Linked DNA regions of Anolis sagrei. The protein of the gene in region 2 purifies or fractionates together with the protein of the main gene of each other region. This does not show direct contact. Links are inferred from orthologs where the notes say so. Each region holds a gene or a part of one and is shown on either strand. Other genes may lie near its edges.

The links.
Region 1: the proteins of BRAF (region 2) and RPTOR purify together in Homo sapiens (affinity purification with mass spectrometry; 3 studies listed by BioGRID and IntAct, with this or other methods). This does not show direct contact. The link is inferred for Anolis sagrei from reciprocal best matches to the Homo sapiens genes BRAF and RPTOR.

Annotation. Positions count from the first base shown.
Region 1 is NC_090022.1:130,447,420-130,454,492, reverse strand, and holds the start of RPTOR (regulatory-associated protein of mTOR), read right to left. Parts: upstream 3,001-7,073; 5' UTR 1,707-3,000; coding exon 1,545-1,706; intron 1-1,544. UniProt on the Homo sapiens protein: Component of the mechanistic target of rapamycin complex 1 (mTORC1), an evolutionarily conserved central nutrient sensor that stimulates anabolic reactions and macromolecule biosynthesis to promote cellular biomass generation and growth.
Region 2 is NC_090025.1:173,530,072-173,537,492, forward strand, and holds the start of BRAF (serine/threonine-protein kinase B-raf), read right to left. Parts: upstream 3,017-7,421; 5' UTR 2,803-3,016; coding exon 2,590-2,802; intron 1-2,589. UniProt on the Homo sapiens protein: Protein kinase involved in the transduction of mitogenic signals from the cell membrane to the nucleus. Phosphorylates MAP2K1, and thereby activates the MAP kinase signal transduction pathway. Phosphorylates PFKFB2.

The sequences.
Region 1 (7,073 bases), on a different chromosome or scaffold from region 2:
AAATGAATATTCGCCATGCTTAATATAAGAATTTATTTCAAAAAACAGTATTTGGTCAGCTTTTTAGAATCTAATCATCATTAACATTTGGGGCACAACTCATTCCAAACAAAAAGCTTCTAGAAGCCTTCCTGACTGGAATGAAAGGGGCAAGTAAGAAAGTATGGATGAACTCAGAGAAGGCTAAGCTCCTTTACAATCACATTAAAATGAACTTCGGCATGTTAGCCACAAACATTTGTTTTAAGTTTAGCAATATCTAATTACTGTTTTTAAAATAAAAAAAACAGTTACACTACCATTTATAATATACAATTTTATAAATAACATCTACAATAAACCATTAAACAAAAAGTCATATATCCTGCTTACAGCACTAAGTTGTCTTGGATACTCCCAAAACCCATAAATCCTACTTCTTGTGTTACAGAAAAAGTAGGTTCTGACAGACCACAAGATGCATTCAAGAAGCTTTAGAAGTTCTAAATCACTATTCATTTCCATATTACGACTTCATATGCATAGAAAAGAGATGCCATAGAAAAGCTTCTCCCAGCACTTATACAGTTTCCACAGCAGCTGTACCAGAACAGCACTTTACCACAGTGAATGAGCAAGGAAGAAAATATCTCTTTTTAGCACTGTGAGACTAGTACTGATTTATTTACATACTGATGCTGTGAAACAAACCATGTAATCAGGGTCACAGACAGCTGTATATTCAGACACATTTCAAATGAGGCAACATTCCAAGTTATTTTGGTTAATTTTTTCACTTGCTATAAAGATAAGTTCCATACTGCTGTTAAACATAAACCCTACTTTTGTAAATCAATATAAGGGAATACTTTAGGAGTTGATTTGACTGATAAGTTTTCCCACTAGCTATCTCTCTCAGAAATGTCTTCATTCGCTGATTATCTAAACTTCCTCAAAGGCAACATAATAATTAACAAATAATTCTAGAATGCCTAACAACAGCAATTTGACTGTATAATCTTTCCTGCAAAAAGTTAGCAGGAGAAATAATTGAGTCTGGAACAGAGATTCTATAATTTCTTGTGGATTTCCATTTCTAAAACAACCAGAACAACACCATTGTATAAATAAATTTTGTTGTGTATAATTTTCATAAATGTTGTCACTCTCATTTTTAGCTTCATTAAAAATGAAATGTCCCATGTGACACATGGTTAAGGAAATAGAACTTTAAATTCACTAATAGAACAAATCTGTACATGACACTTCCACATGAAGCAATCTCCATCCAGATACTTGCCAAGTAAATGTTAAGACCTCATTTTAATTAACTTAGAATTAATTCATTTTCAAAGAAGAAAAAGCAAATTATTTAAACCTAGTGATTTGGTGCCGTGTTAGCATGCAGTGTTGGCTACATTTATTGAGTGTTCAACACAAAATAAATTAATAGAATTCAACCAGGAATGTACAAGACCTACAGAAAAAGTGTGTAGAATCTAGTTGAACAGAACATGCAAATCTTTTCTTTCTCCCAAACAAAAACTGTAACTAGAGATCATTACCCTGTCTTTCATCCGCCAACTCTGAGCCAGTGATTTGGAGCCTTCAATCTTCTCACAGTGCCGCTTCTTCATGAAGGCCAAAGGCAGATTCCAGTCAGTCATGTCTGATTCATCTTCCTCCCCAAGCCCCAGTAGGGGAGACTGCAACATATCTGACTCCATGAGAGGAGAAAGAACCAAGGGAACCAATGATCAAAAGTCAAGGATCAACAAAGTATGAGCAAAAAAGCTATTAGGAGAGCAAGGGAACCTCTCAACTGCAGTTCCAGGTGACGCTTCAGGGAAAGGTGTCTTGTTCAAATGCTGTTGTTTGTTAAAGTGTGTAGAAATATTCTCTTTTCAGCAGCGGGGGGGGGGGGGGGGGCTTTCCAGTTTGGAAGAAGCAAGCTTGGTGAGTAATGCAATCACGATACAAGAGACAACTATCTTGCAGGAAATGGATGATCACTGTCTAGCTGAAGAATCAAGTCACAGATGTGCATGGAGGTTCTTTCTCCCACTCACTTTCTCAAATAGGGTGTGCAATTGCGAAATGCCTCTCAATCTAAACAAAACATAAAAGTCATTTCAAATCACGAAAACAATGTTCCACAATAGAGACTGCTTAGTTCATCAAGATGGGCCTACAAGTATTTTAGGCAGAAGAATGTGATTCTAGTAAAGAACTCCAACCACTGCAAGGAAGGAACAAAGTATAAAAGCAGGATGACAGCAGGTCAGGAGGAGTGACACTGGGAAATTGTGGCCAAGGGAGGACAGGTGAAGTGAGGATACTCAGCTGCAGAGTCACACCAGAAGCCTCCTTTCAAGTGAAAAGGGGAAGCTGTTGCTGGGAGCGTGTCCCTGTTAAGGGCCCTTTTGTGGGGTGCTCTTAGGGGGATGCTTGCAGAAACGGGTGGTGCTTCTGGGTCCAATGGGAAGGAGGTCCGGGGCGCCACAACCGGAGCGACGATGGGGGAACTGCAGAGACAGGCCCTGGCCAAAGGACGACGAGGAGCGGCAGAGCTGGCAGGGACCGGGGCTGCTTGGCGCCTCTGTGCTCCAGGCCTGGCTCGCTTCTCCTGGCTGAGAAGACCACGCCCACCCTCGACCAGGCCCAGTCCGGTCCAGGCGGCGGCGGGCAAGCTCTCCTTGCCGGGAGGCCTCTCTCTCTGGCGTGGGCCGGCGAGGGGAGCACGCTCCTACCCCCGAGGCGGTGCCTGCTCGCTGCCCGGCCGTTCCTCCTCCTGCTGCTGCTGCTCCTGCGATGGGGGTCCCGTCCGCCGCATCGCCATCCCCGCCGCGGGCAGGTGGCGGCTCCTCTCCCTGGACAAAAGCCCCGGGCTGCCGGGTGAGGAGAACGGGAGGGAAACGTCCCGGAGAGCCAAACTCGCCTCAGCAACTCAACAAGGAGGCAGCCATATTGCCGAGGCCCACAATGCATCACGGCGACGGGCCGCCGGCCGGCTCATGCTGAGTGAGATGCGTTCGGTACGGGCGAGTTCAAGGGAGGGAGGAGCAGCAGCAGCCGCCAGAGGGTTGCCGGGGCAACGCTCCAAGCATTCGCCTGGCCTTTCGGCTCCGGGAGGGAGGGAGGGAGGGAGGGGCTGCCCACTCGCCCACCCCCCCCCCCCCAAGGCCCAGGAAGGGACATGGATCCTCACGGCTGAGAGCTATGATGAGATTCTTATAAATAAGTAAACTTACGGTATCAGGCGGCCTGAGTGTTGGGTCACGGTGCAAGTTTGCTGTAGAATTACTGCGATTTGACACCACTTTAGTTGGTATGGTGTAATGTTATGGTCTCCTGGGAGTTGTAGTTTGCCAATGTCTTCAACCTTCTCTGCAAAGAGTGCTGGTGCCTCACTGTGCTCCAGATCCCATGGTGATGTAGCACTGAGCCATCAAAGACACCAGACCACCACCCCCAATCAGGCATGTAGCCGGGAGGGGGGGGGGCTTGGGGGGCTTCAGCCCCCCCCCCCCGAAATTCTCAGGGTGGTCCGCGAGAAGACCTTACTGGTACATTATTTAAACTGTTATGTTTATTCATATCATGATCTGATCACCATGCTCAATATATCCCATATGTATGGGGGTATTGGGGTAATGATACAAAAGGTTTGCTAGGGTAGGGCCTCTTTCACTCAGACTCACCCCCCCCCCCCCGAATCAAACTCACCCCCCCCCCCCCCCCGAAACAAAATCCTGGCTACAAGCCTGCCCCCAATAAAATATATACACAAATCAAACTCAAGGATTTATAGTTTTATCAAGGATGGAGGACCCACTGGGCTAAAAGCAGTCTCCATCCTCATAGTCATTCTGCAACAATACAGAATGAGGGATGTTTGGCTCGACATGTGAAAAAGATCTTGGAGTCCTCGTGGACAGGAAGGTGAACATGAGACCACAATGTCATGCGGCAGCTTAAAAGGCAATGGGATTTTTGCTTGCATAAATAGGAGTATAGTGTCTAGATCCAGGGAAGTCATGCTCCCCCTCTATTATGCCTTGGTCAGACCACACCTGAAATGTCCAATTCTGGGCACAGCGATTGAAGGGAGATGTTGACAAGCTGGACTGTGTGCAGAGTAGGGCGACTCAAATGATCAAGGGTTTGGAGAACAAGCCCTATGAGGAGTGGCTTAAGGAGCTGGGCATGTTTATTTATTTATTTATTTATTTACAGTATTTATATTCCGCCCTTCTCACCCCACAGGGGACTCAGGGCGGATTACAGTGTACACATATATGGCAAACATTCAATGCCAATTTGACATGCAACATATACAGACATACACAGAGGCTATTTACCTTTTTCTGGCTGCCAGGGGAGCTGTCGCTTTCATCGTCCTTCTGCGACACTGATGAAGTACTTCCGCATTCCTCGCATGCTTTTGCTGGAGTGCTTTGCTGGAGTCTTTTTTAAGGCCTCATAAATTGGTTAATTTAGCCTCCCCACACAAGGTGGTACCTAATTTTCCTACTTGACAGATGCAACTGTCTTTCGGGTTGCAAAGGTCGACAACAGGCTACACAATTGGTTGGAAGCCCACTCCAACCCGGGCTGGCTTCAAACTCATGACCTTTTGGTCAGAGTGCTCTTAATGCAGCTGACAGCCAGCTGTGCCACAATCCCTTCAGTCTTCTCTCAATTTCTTTGTGCTACTGAAACAGAGTCCCACGGAGGCTATCACATGACACCAGGCCACTTCCAATGGTTGCCTGTAGGACTCTTTTGTGACAACACAGAGAAACAGGGGGAAGACTGTAAAATGACAGATAAGAGAGAGAAAAGAATAACGATAAGTAGCATAGATTAGGTACGCTCAATAGTTTATGGTAGAGGAGTAGTACCATTAAAATAATTCTTAACCACCTTTAGTCTCCTTCACCGTAAAGCTGCCAGCATCCCAGTGGCCTTAATCCAGGATATACCTTTTGTTCAAGTAGTACAGGTTGATTAAATTTATCTATTTCTAGATATGTTTAAATTGGCAATTGTAAAACTAAGAGCTCCTCTCAACCTGTTTTCTAAATGGATATATATTATTAAGAATATTGTATCTTGAACCCATTTTTCATAAAAAGCATAATTGTGTGTGTGTGTGTGTGTAACCATCCATTTTCAAGGCACTTTACAAGAAAACACCCCCAAATGGAGGGTTCTGTCAGTGGCTTACAATCTCAAATATGCAAATGTAAAGGGATGACAAGAATCATAAAACTTTACAATCTAATTGTAAAACAAATTATCTGAATAAAATACAAAATATAATATTAAACTAACATGTCACTCAAGCATCAGATTTTCTAAAGCAACAATTTTTTATATCCTTTGTGTTATTTGATACACATCAGTCTTTCTCTGTTAAAACATATAGTTCATGTCAGATAGCGGTAATTTGGGGTATGACCTGTTGAATTATCACATCTGAAGGCATATCATTTCAAATATATGGCACGAGGCCTAAAAGCTTTTAAATGTATTTTTTCACATTGGAAAAAGCTCAGATAACATGCCTTAAAAAGCTTAGAAAATGTAAACGACTTTAAAATAAAGACATAGCTGGCACTTCACTGTGCCTCCAAAAATTGTTGGTTTTATATATGTGTGTATTTATTTAAAACAGTTATACCCCGTCCTTCTCAACCTCCGAAGAGGGACTCAGGATGGCTTTCAACAGGCAACCATTCAGTGCCAACACAATATAAAACATATCATAAAATACAACCATATACATTAAAACGGTTATAAATATACATTAAAAGTGGTTCGCCAAGTTAAATTCGTCATCCAAATGCAAATTAAAAGAAAAACTTATAAATGGGGTTGACTTACATATGAGCTTGACTATACCGTAGTTGATCACTTATGAGTCTATATTTGAGTCTAAACAGTAAATCTAATGTAGGGAAACATTTCCCTTTCATATGTTTTAGCCTTCCATCCACCCCACCCAGCGTCACCAATGGTAATAAACCTTGGGAACTATATGTCAAAAGATTTAGGTGACCAAAGGTTCCCTTACCACTGGCTTGTTTATAGCAATATCTTTCTAAGCTCTGACACTTCAGCCCTGACTTATGACTCAAATTCTGCTTCTTCCTTGACAGGTTTCAGTTCTTTATTTTTATTCCCAAAGGTGTGTTTCAGACTTACAGGTCACCTTAGTTGGCTGCCTACAGGTCAGTTCTCATAAGGCTTCTGTGTGCAGAAGAACTGTTTTGATGAATCAGACCAAGTTTCATCTACTCCAACATTCAAACAATCACCTGCCAGGTGCGCTAGAGGTTCATAAGAAGGGCAGGAAGGCAAAGGTCCCAATCTGTTGTTTATTCAGAGCATCTGGTACTCAGATGTTTACAACTACTGGTCATGGAAGGTTAAGTCTCATGACTTAAAAGTGTTGATCACTGCAACCTCCAATAATCTGTCTAGGCCTTTAAAAACCCATCTAATTTAGCAACCATAACCACAATTTGCAGTAATTACCTTGACAGGTGTGAAATACTTTATTTTGTTTGTCCTGAACTTGATGTCAATAACTTTATTGGATCAGCTTGTGTGAGAGAATACTCACCACCCGCTGCCAACCCCCCCCCCCCCCCCCCGGCATCTTTTTGATGAACCAGAAAGCCCCAAGCTCTTGTGAGTTGTAAGAAGCATTCATGAATATTCTGCCCTGAATCAGCATAACACCAGAAACAACCTTGAAGTAGCTTGAATTGTAGGGCACTGAAGTGGAGTTTGTTTTTGCAATGCAGTATTCAAACTACTAGTTTTATCAGGAGTTCATTTGAATTCTCAGCAATGATCTTCCTTGGGGGGAAAAATCTTGGGGTGTGCCTTCAGGTGATAATGGGGTGAAACAATGAGCATTTTGCTAGGTCATATGTTATTTAATTAACATGGTAATATTAGAATGTCAGAAACTTGCACTGAATGACAAGGCACAAAGAATATATCATATATGTTTTCTTTTGTCTAGTAAACATTTGGTGCCTGAAATGTTAGACCTGTTTCTGGGTATTTTTGACCTGCTA
Region 2 (7,421 bases):
GGATGGCAAATGTTTTGTATCAGAAACTAGAGCTGATGTGGTCTATCCAATGCAATTTTCTGAATCCGCAGCCCAAATAACCAAACTGAATCTGAAGTTGACCAAAAGCTGATTTGTAACCCTTTTGGTACTAATGTTGGAGAGTGGTCCCTGGTCAAAAAAAGGTTGGGAACTACTGGTCAAGGTGGAATAATTTTCCCCGCAATCCGAATCCAGTGCTCTGTATCCTAGTCTCAGGAGCAGCAGAAAACATGCTTTCTCCCTCCTCCATGTGACATCCTTTCCAGTATTCAATCTGGCTATCACGATCCCTTTCCAGCCTTCTCTTCACACTAGTTGAAATGGAATCACTTTTCCTGCAATCTGAATCCACTGCTCTGTATCCTAGTCTCAGGAGCAGCAGAAAACATGCTTTCTCTCTCCTCCACGTGACATCCTTTCAGGTATTTAATCAGGCTATCATGTCCCCTTCCAGCTTTCTCTTCACAAAGCTAAATACACCCAGCTCCCTAAGTTGCTTCTCAGAGGGTTTGGTTTCCAGACTTTTGACCCGTTCGTCAATATCCTTCTTAAACTGTGGTATTGTCTAGAGACTGACACAGTATTCCAGCTGTCTGTCCAAAGCAGAATGTGTGTGTGTGTGTGGGGGGGGGGTGTCTATGACTTCACTTGACCAAGACACTAGACCAGGGGTCCTCAAACTAAGGCCCGCGGGCTGGATACGGCTCTCCAAGGTTATTTACCCAGCCCTCACTCAGGGTCAACCTAAGTCTGAAACAACTTGAAAGCACACAATAACAACACCAAACAACAATAGTACTATCTCATCAGTCAAAAGCAAGTCCACACTTCCCATTGAAATACTAATAAGTTTATATTTGTTAAAATTGTTCTTCATTTTAATTATAAGTGTATGTTGTACTAAAAATAAGATAGATTCATAGAATCAAAGAGTTGGAAAAGACCTCATGGGCCATCCAGTTCAACCAAGAAGCAGTAATTTTGCATTCAAATCACCCTTGACAGATGGCCATCCCACCTCTGTTTAAAAGCTTCCAAAGAAGGAGCCTCCGCCACACTCCGGGGCAGAGAGTTCCACTGCTGAACAGCTCTCACAGTCAGGAAGTTCTTCCTCATGTTCAGATGGAATCTCCTTTCTTGTAGTTTGAAGCCATTGTTTCGTGTCCTGGTCTCCAGGGAAGCAGAAAACAAGCTTGCTCCCTCCTCCCTGTGGCTTCCTCTCACATATTTATACATCACTATCATATCTCCTCTCAGCCCAGGCCCGTAGCCAGGATTTCGTTTGGGGGGGGGGGGGGGCTGAGTTTTTTTCAGGGGGGTTTTCGGGGGGGGGCTGAGTTTTGGGAGGGGCTGAGTCTGAGTGAAAGAGGGTCTAGCCTAGCAAACCTTTGGTATCATTACCCCAATACCCCCATGCATATGGGATATATTGAGTATGGTGATCAGATCATGATATGAATAAACATAAGTTTAAATAATGCACCAGTAAGGCCTTTTCGCGAACCACCATGAGAATTTCAGGGGGGAGGGGGCTGAAGCCCCTCCGAGCCCCCTCCCCTGCTACATGCCTGTCTCAGCCTTCTCTTCTTCAGGCTAAACACGCCCAGCTCCTTAAGCTGCTCCTCATAGGGCTTGTTCTCCAGACCTCTGATCATTTTAGTCGCCCTCCTCTGGACACATTCCAGCTTGTCTTGAATTGTGCTGATATGTGCAGTGTGCACAGGAATTCATTCATGTTTTTTTCAAATTATAATCCGGCCCTCCAACAGTTTGAGGGGCTGGATTATAATTTGGCCCTCTGTTTAAGAAGTTTGAGGACCCCTGCACTAGACTCCAATGGATGCAGCCTTGAATTGCATTGGCTTTACAAGTTGCCAGGCATGTAGCGGGGGGGGGGGGGGGGGGCTTGAGGGGCTTCAGCCCCCCCCCCCCCCCCGAAATTCTCATGGTGGTTTGCGAAAAGGCCTAACTGGTGCATTATTTAAACTGTTATGTTTATTCATATCATGATCTGATCACCATGCTCAATATACCCCATATGCATGGGGGTATTGGGGTAATGATACAAAAGGTTTGCTAGGCTAGACCCTCTTTCACTCAGACTCAGCCCCCCCCCCGAAACTCAGCCCCCCCCCCCCGAAATGAAATCCTGGCTATCCGGGCCTGTGAGCTGCTGCATCATAGGATTGAGCCTTCCCGTAATTCCCTCCCCTAATTTCACAAGACTATCATTGTATCTCCATCAGAAGACATTGGATGTGTCTACACGAGGCATGGGCCAACTTGGCCTCTGCAGGAGTTTTGGACTTCAACTCCCACCATTCCTAACAGCTTAAGCGGCTGAGGGGGGAAAGGAAAGGGTCTGAGCCGGTTAGGAATGGTGGGAGTTGAAGTCCAAAACACCTGCAGGGCCCAAGTTGGCCCATGCCTGGAGCAGATGCACTTCCAAGCTCCTTTGGCCTGCGCTTGCAAAGCCGGGGCCTCAATGTAGCAAAGCGAGGGCAAAGGGACTGCCTCGGGATGGATACCAGGCCGGTTGCCGTCGTTGCCGAGCCCAGCGGGCCTCACCTCCTCCGGCACGGCCGGGTCTCCCCCTGCGGCGCTTCCCTCTCCTGAGAAGCCCTCTGGCAGAGGCGGGAGCGGCGGTAGGGGCGGCAGCGGGGGCAGAGGCGGGAGCGGCGGCAGCGGCGGTAGTGGCGGCAGCGGCGGCAGCTCAGCCTCCATGTCCCCGTTGAAGAGCGAGGCCCCCTCGGCGTCTCCGTCGCTGCTCACCGCCGCCATCTTGGAGCGCGCGGAGAAGGAGGGGGAAGAGTCGGGGGAGGGGGGCGGCGAGAGCGACCCGGCCGCCCCCAACCGCGACCCGTAGTTGGAGAGGGGGGCGGGGCCACCGAGGGGGAAACAGGAGAGGGAGGAGGAGGAAGACTGAGAAGAGAGACCCAGGCCACCAGCCGCGGCCGCCGCACGTCACGCCCCCGGCCGTGACGTCACCCGGAATCGCCGCGCATGCGCGACGGGACGTCAGCGGGAAACACCCTGACATCACGCCGAGAGGGCCCCCTCCCCTCCCCTCCCCACCTCCCTACGTCACCCAGGGAACCCGGAAGGCGGGGATTCCTTGGCCACGCCTCCTTCCTCATCAAGTCTATTAGGAGCCCCCGGTGGCGCAGTGGGTTAAACCCCTGTGCCGGCAGGACTGAAGACCGACAGGTCGCAGGTTCGAATCCGGGGAGAGGCGGATATGAGCTCCCTCTATCAGCTCCAGCTCCTCATGCGGGGACATGAGAGAAGCCTCCCACAAGGATGGTAAAAACATCAAATCATCCGGGCGTCCCCTGGGCACGTCCCCTCCGCACAGCCCTATATCCCACAATAGGAGGTCCATGAATGCCTGAAATCCAAGCAGTGATTTAAATTGGGGAAAAGACACCAGGGTGGGTTGTTTACCTGCTTCCCAACACTGCTGTCCTAAAGGTATGTCCATCACCACCCACACTTACTTCTGACTTGTTATGTTATAATACAGCACTGCCTGAACATAAAGCAAAAAGTAGATGCTAGAAACAATATCATACGAAAGCTGACTGGCACAACCTGGGGATCACAACCAGACAGAGTGAAAGACATCTGCCCTTGTGCTATGCTGCTGAGTACACATGCCCTGTGTGGAACACATCTCACCACACTAAAACAGTGTGATTGATTGACTGACTATTGGAACACGGAATAATGGATAACGAGTTTTGGATTCTGATTTCATTGATGAGACCTGATGGATTTGTTATATTGATGTAGTGATGTATTGATGCTGATGTTTAATGATTTGTGATGCTATTGCTTTTAAATGCTTAATTGATTTTGTATTGTGTATACCTAAATTGTTGTAAACCGCTTTGAGTCGCCTAAGGGCTGAGAAGAGCGGTATACAAATAAATTAAATAAATAAATAAACAAATAAAACAGTAGATGTGACTCTTACTGAGACATGCCGCATTATCACGGGGTGTCTGCGCCCTACACCACTGGAGAAATTACACTGCTTAGCCGGTATTGCACCACCTGACATCCGCCGGGAAGTAGCAGCCAATAGTGAAAGGACCAAGGCAGTGACATCTCCAGCTCATCCCCTGTTTGGGTATCAGCCAGCACATCAACGACTTAAATCTAGAAATAGTTTTCTAAGATCTACAGAGACACTCGCTGGAACACCTCAGCAAGCGAGAGTCCAAAAGTGGCAGGCTCAAACCCAGAACCTCAACCAATGGCTGATACCAAATGAGAGACTCCCCCCTGGGCACACAGAAGACTATGCAACTTGGAAGGTGCTGAACAGACTGTGCTCGGGCACCACGAGATGCAGAGCCAACCTTAAGAAATGGGGCTACAGGGCGGAATCCACGACATGCGAGTGTGGAGAAGAGCAAATCACAAACCACCTGCTGCAATGCACCCTGAGCCCTGCCACATGCACAATGGAGGACCTTCTTGCAGCAACACCAGAAGCACTCCAAGTGGCCAGATACTGGTCAAAGGACATTTAATCAACTACCAAACTCGCAAATTTTGTATTTGGTCTGTCTGTTTGTTTTGTTCTGTTAGAAATGTAATACCATTGACTGGTTGCCCTGACACGACAAATAAATAAATACGGTATGTTAGCTAAGCATCCCTGGGAACAATATTCCACAATTGTGATTTTATTCCATGCAGCTGAATAAAATTCCACGTCATCTGCTTTGAACTGGAATATATGGCAGTGTGGACTCAGATAACCCAGTTCAAAGCAGATATTGTGGGATTTTCTGCTTTAATATACTGGGTTATATGGCTGTGTGGAAGGCCCCTAAGACAGCAGCAAGTAGAAGGTACTACTCCTGAGTACTTAATAAAAGTTAATCAAACCAAAGAGCTATCTGGTTCTTACATAGTTCCCAAACAGTGGCCTATAGGAAGCCCACAGCAAGAGACAAAAACAGAGCTGCCCTTCTTCTTATATTCCCCAGCAAATGACACTCCGGGCCCTTCCAGACAGCCCTATATCTCAGAAATCAAGGCAGAAAATCCCACAGTATCTGCTTCAAACTGTGTTATCTGAGTCCACACTCAGATAATGTGGGATTTTCTGCATTGCTATTCTGAGATTTTCTTACGTACTTAAGAGGAGCTTTTGCACAACTAAGACTTGTGCACCAGCTGCGCCAGTACCTTGGGAAGTCTGACTTGGCCACGGTGGTCCATGCTCTAATTACATTTCGAATAGATTACTGCAACACGCTCTACGTGGGGCTGCCTTTGAAGACAGTTTGGAAACTTTAGCTAGTTCAACGGTCGGCAGCCAGACTACTAACTGGGGCGACATACAGGGAGCACACCACTCCCTTGTTGTGCCAGCTCCACTGGCTGCCAGTCCACCTCCAAGCCCAATTCAAAGTGCTGGTTTTGACCTATACAGCTCTATACGGTTCTGGCCCAACTTACTTGTCCGAACGCATCCACCGCTATGTCCCACCTCAAAACCTAAGATCATCTGTGGAGGCCCTGCTCTCGCTCCCATCAACAGCACAAATGCACCTGGCAGGGACGAGAGACAGGGCCTTCTCAACGGTGGCCCCCTGCCTATGGAACACACTCCCAACTGAGGTAAGAACGGCCACCTCCCTCCTAGTTTTTCGAAAGAAACTAAAGGCATGGTTTTGGGACCTGGCTTTTGGACAATAGATGCAAGCAGCACTTTAAGGGAATATGACTGGAATGACGATATGGCTGATGAGATTGTTTTACTGTTTTATTTATTTATTTATTTATTTATTTATTTACTGTATTTGTATACTGCCTTTCTCAGCCAATTGGTGACTCAAAGCGGTTTCCAACAACTATGGCTTATGTATCATTAATTATGCTTTTATGTCTAATTGTGGTTTTAATTTTGTAATTTGTTATGTAATGGCTTCGGAATGGGGCCCATTGTAAACCGTCCTGAGTCCCTCTTCGGGGGTTGAGAAGGACAGGATAGAAATGTGAGAAATAAATAAATAAATAAATAGTACTTACTTAGGTGATCCCTCGTAGCTCGAGGATGATGGTCTTCCAGATGTAGTGTCTTGGCGGTGGGTCTGTAGGTGGCTGTGGAGCCCTATCTGCATGTTCTCCCGCATTGAGGACATGGGTTTCCAGACGGAAGATGGTCCCGGTCAGGGTTGGCTTGACGCACCTTCCTCTTGGCATGTTTCTTCCTTTCACCCTCCATTCATGCCTCTTATTTTGGGATATATTTATTTATTGTATCAGGTATCAGGTATTGTATTTATCGTAGTCACCTATGGATGTGAGAGCTGGACCGCAGAGAAGACTGAGCGAAGGAAGATAGATGCTTTTGAACTGTGGTGCTGGAGGAAAGTACTGAGAGTGCCTTGGACAGCGAGAAGATCCAACCAGTCCATACTTCAAGAAATAAAGCCTGACTGCCCATTGGAGGGAAGGATAGCAGAGGCAAAGATAAAGTACTCTGGCCACATCATGAGAAGAAAGGAAAGCTTAGAGAAGACAATGATGCTGGGGAAAATGGAAGGAAAAAGGAAGAAGGGCCGACCAAGGGCAAGATGTATGGATGGCATCCTTGAAGTAACTGGATTGACCTTGAAGGAGCTGGGAATGGTGACGACCGACAGGAAGCTCTGGCATGGACTGGTCCATGAAGTCACAAAGAGTCGGAAACGACTGAACAAATGAACAACAATCAGGAGCGAACCAAACAGTTGTATTGTATTTTTAGAAAAAACACACAAAGTTTGAAAACATTACTGGGTCCCAGTTTGTTTGTTTCTTTGGTGTCCCTTGATTTGAAGATAGCCAGTAAGTTAATTTATCCATATTTATTATCTCCAGGACCTCGTTCTGCCATTCCTCTCTTTTTGGTATCTCTTTTGATCTCCAGTTCTTCGCAAATACAATTCTGGCTGCCGTGGCCAGAAAATTAAACAAAATCTCTTTGTTTTCATCTTCCTCCAGGTTCAGCATTCCTAGTAAGAAATATTCTGGCTCTTTTTGGATTTTCATTTTTAGATATGAAATTTTAGAAATAAAAACTTGGCATTCTACTAAATGGTTTTTGACCAGTAGCTGGCCACTTGGAATGCCTCTGGTGTCGCTATAAGAAGGTCCTCCATTGTGCATGTGGCGAGGATCAGGTTGCATTGCAGCAGGTGGTTTGTGATTTGCTCTTCTCCACGCTTGCATGTCGTGGATTCCATTTTTTAGCCCCATTTCTTAAGATTGGCTCTGCATCTCGTGGTGCCAGAGCGCAGTCTGTTCAGTACCTTCCAAGTTGCCCAGTTTTCTGTGTGGCCAAGGGGGAGTCTCTGATTTGGTATCAGCAATTGATTGAGGTTCTGGGTCTTAGCCTG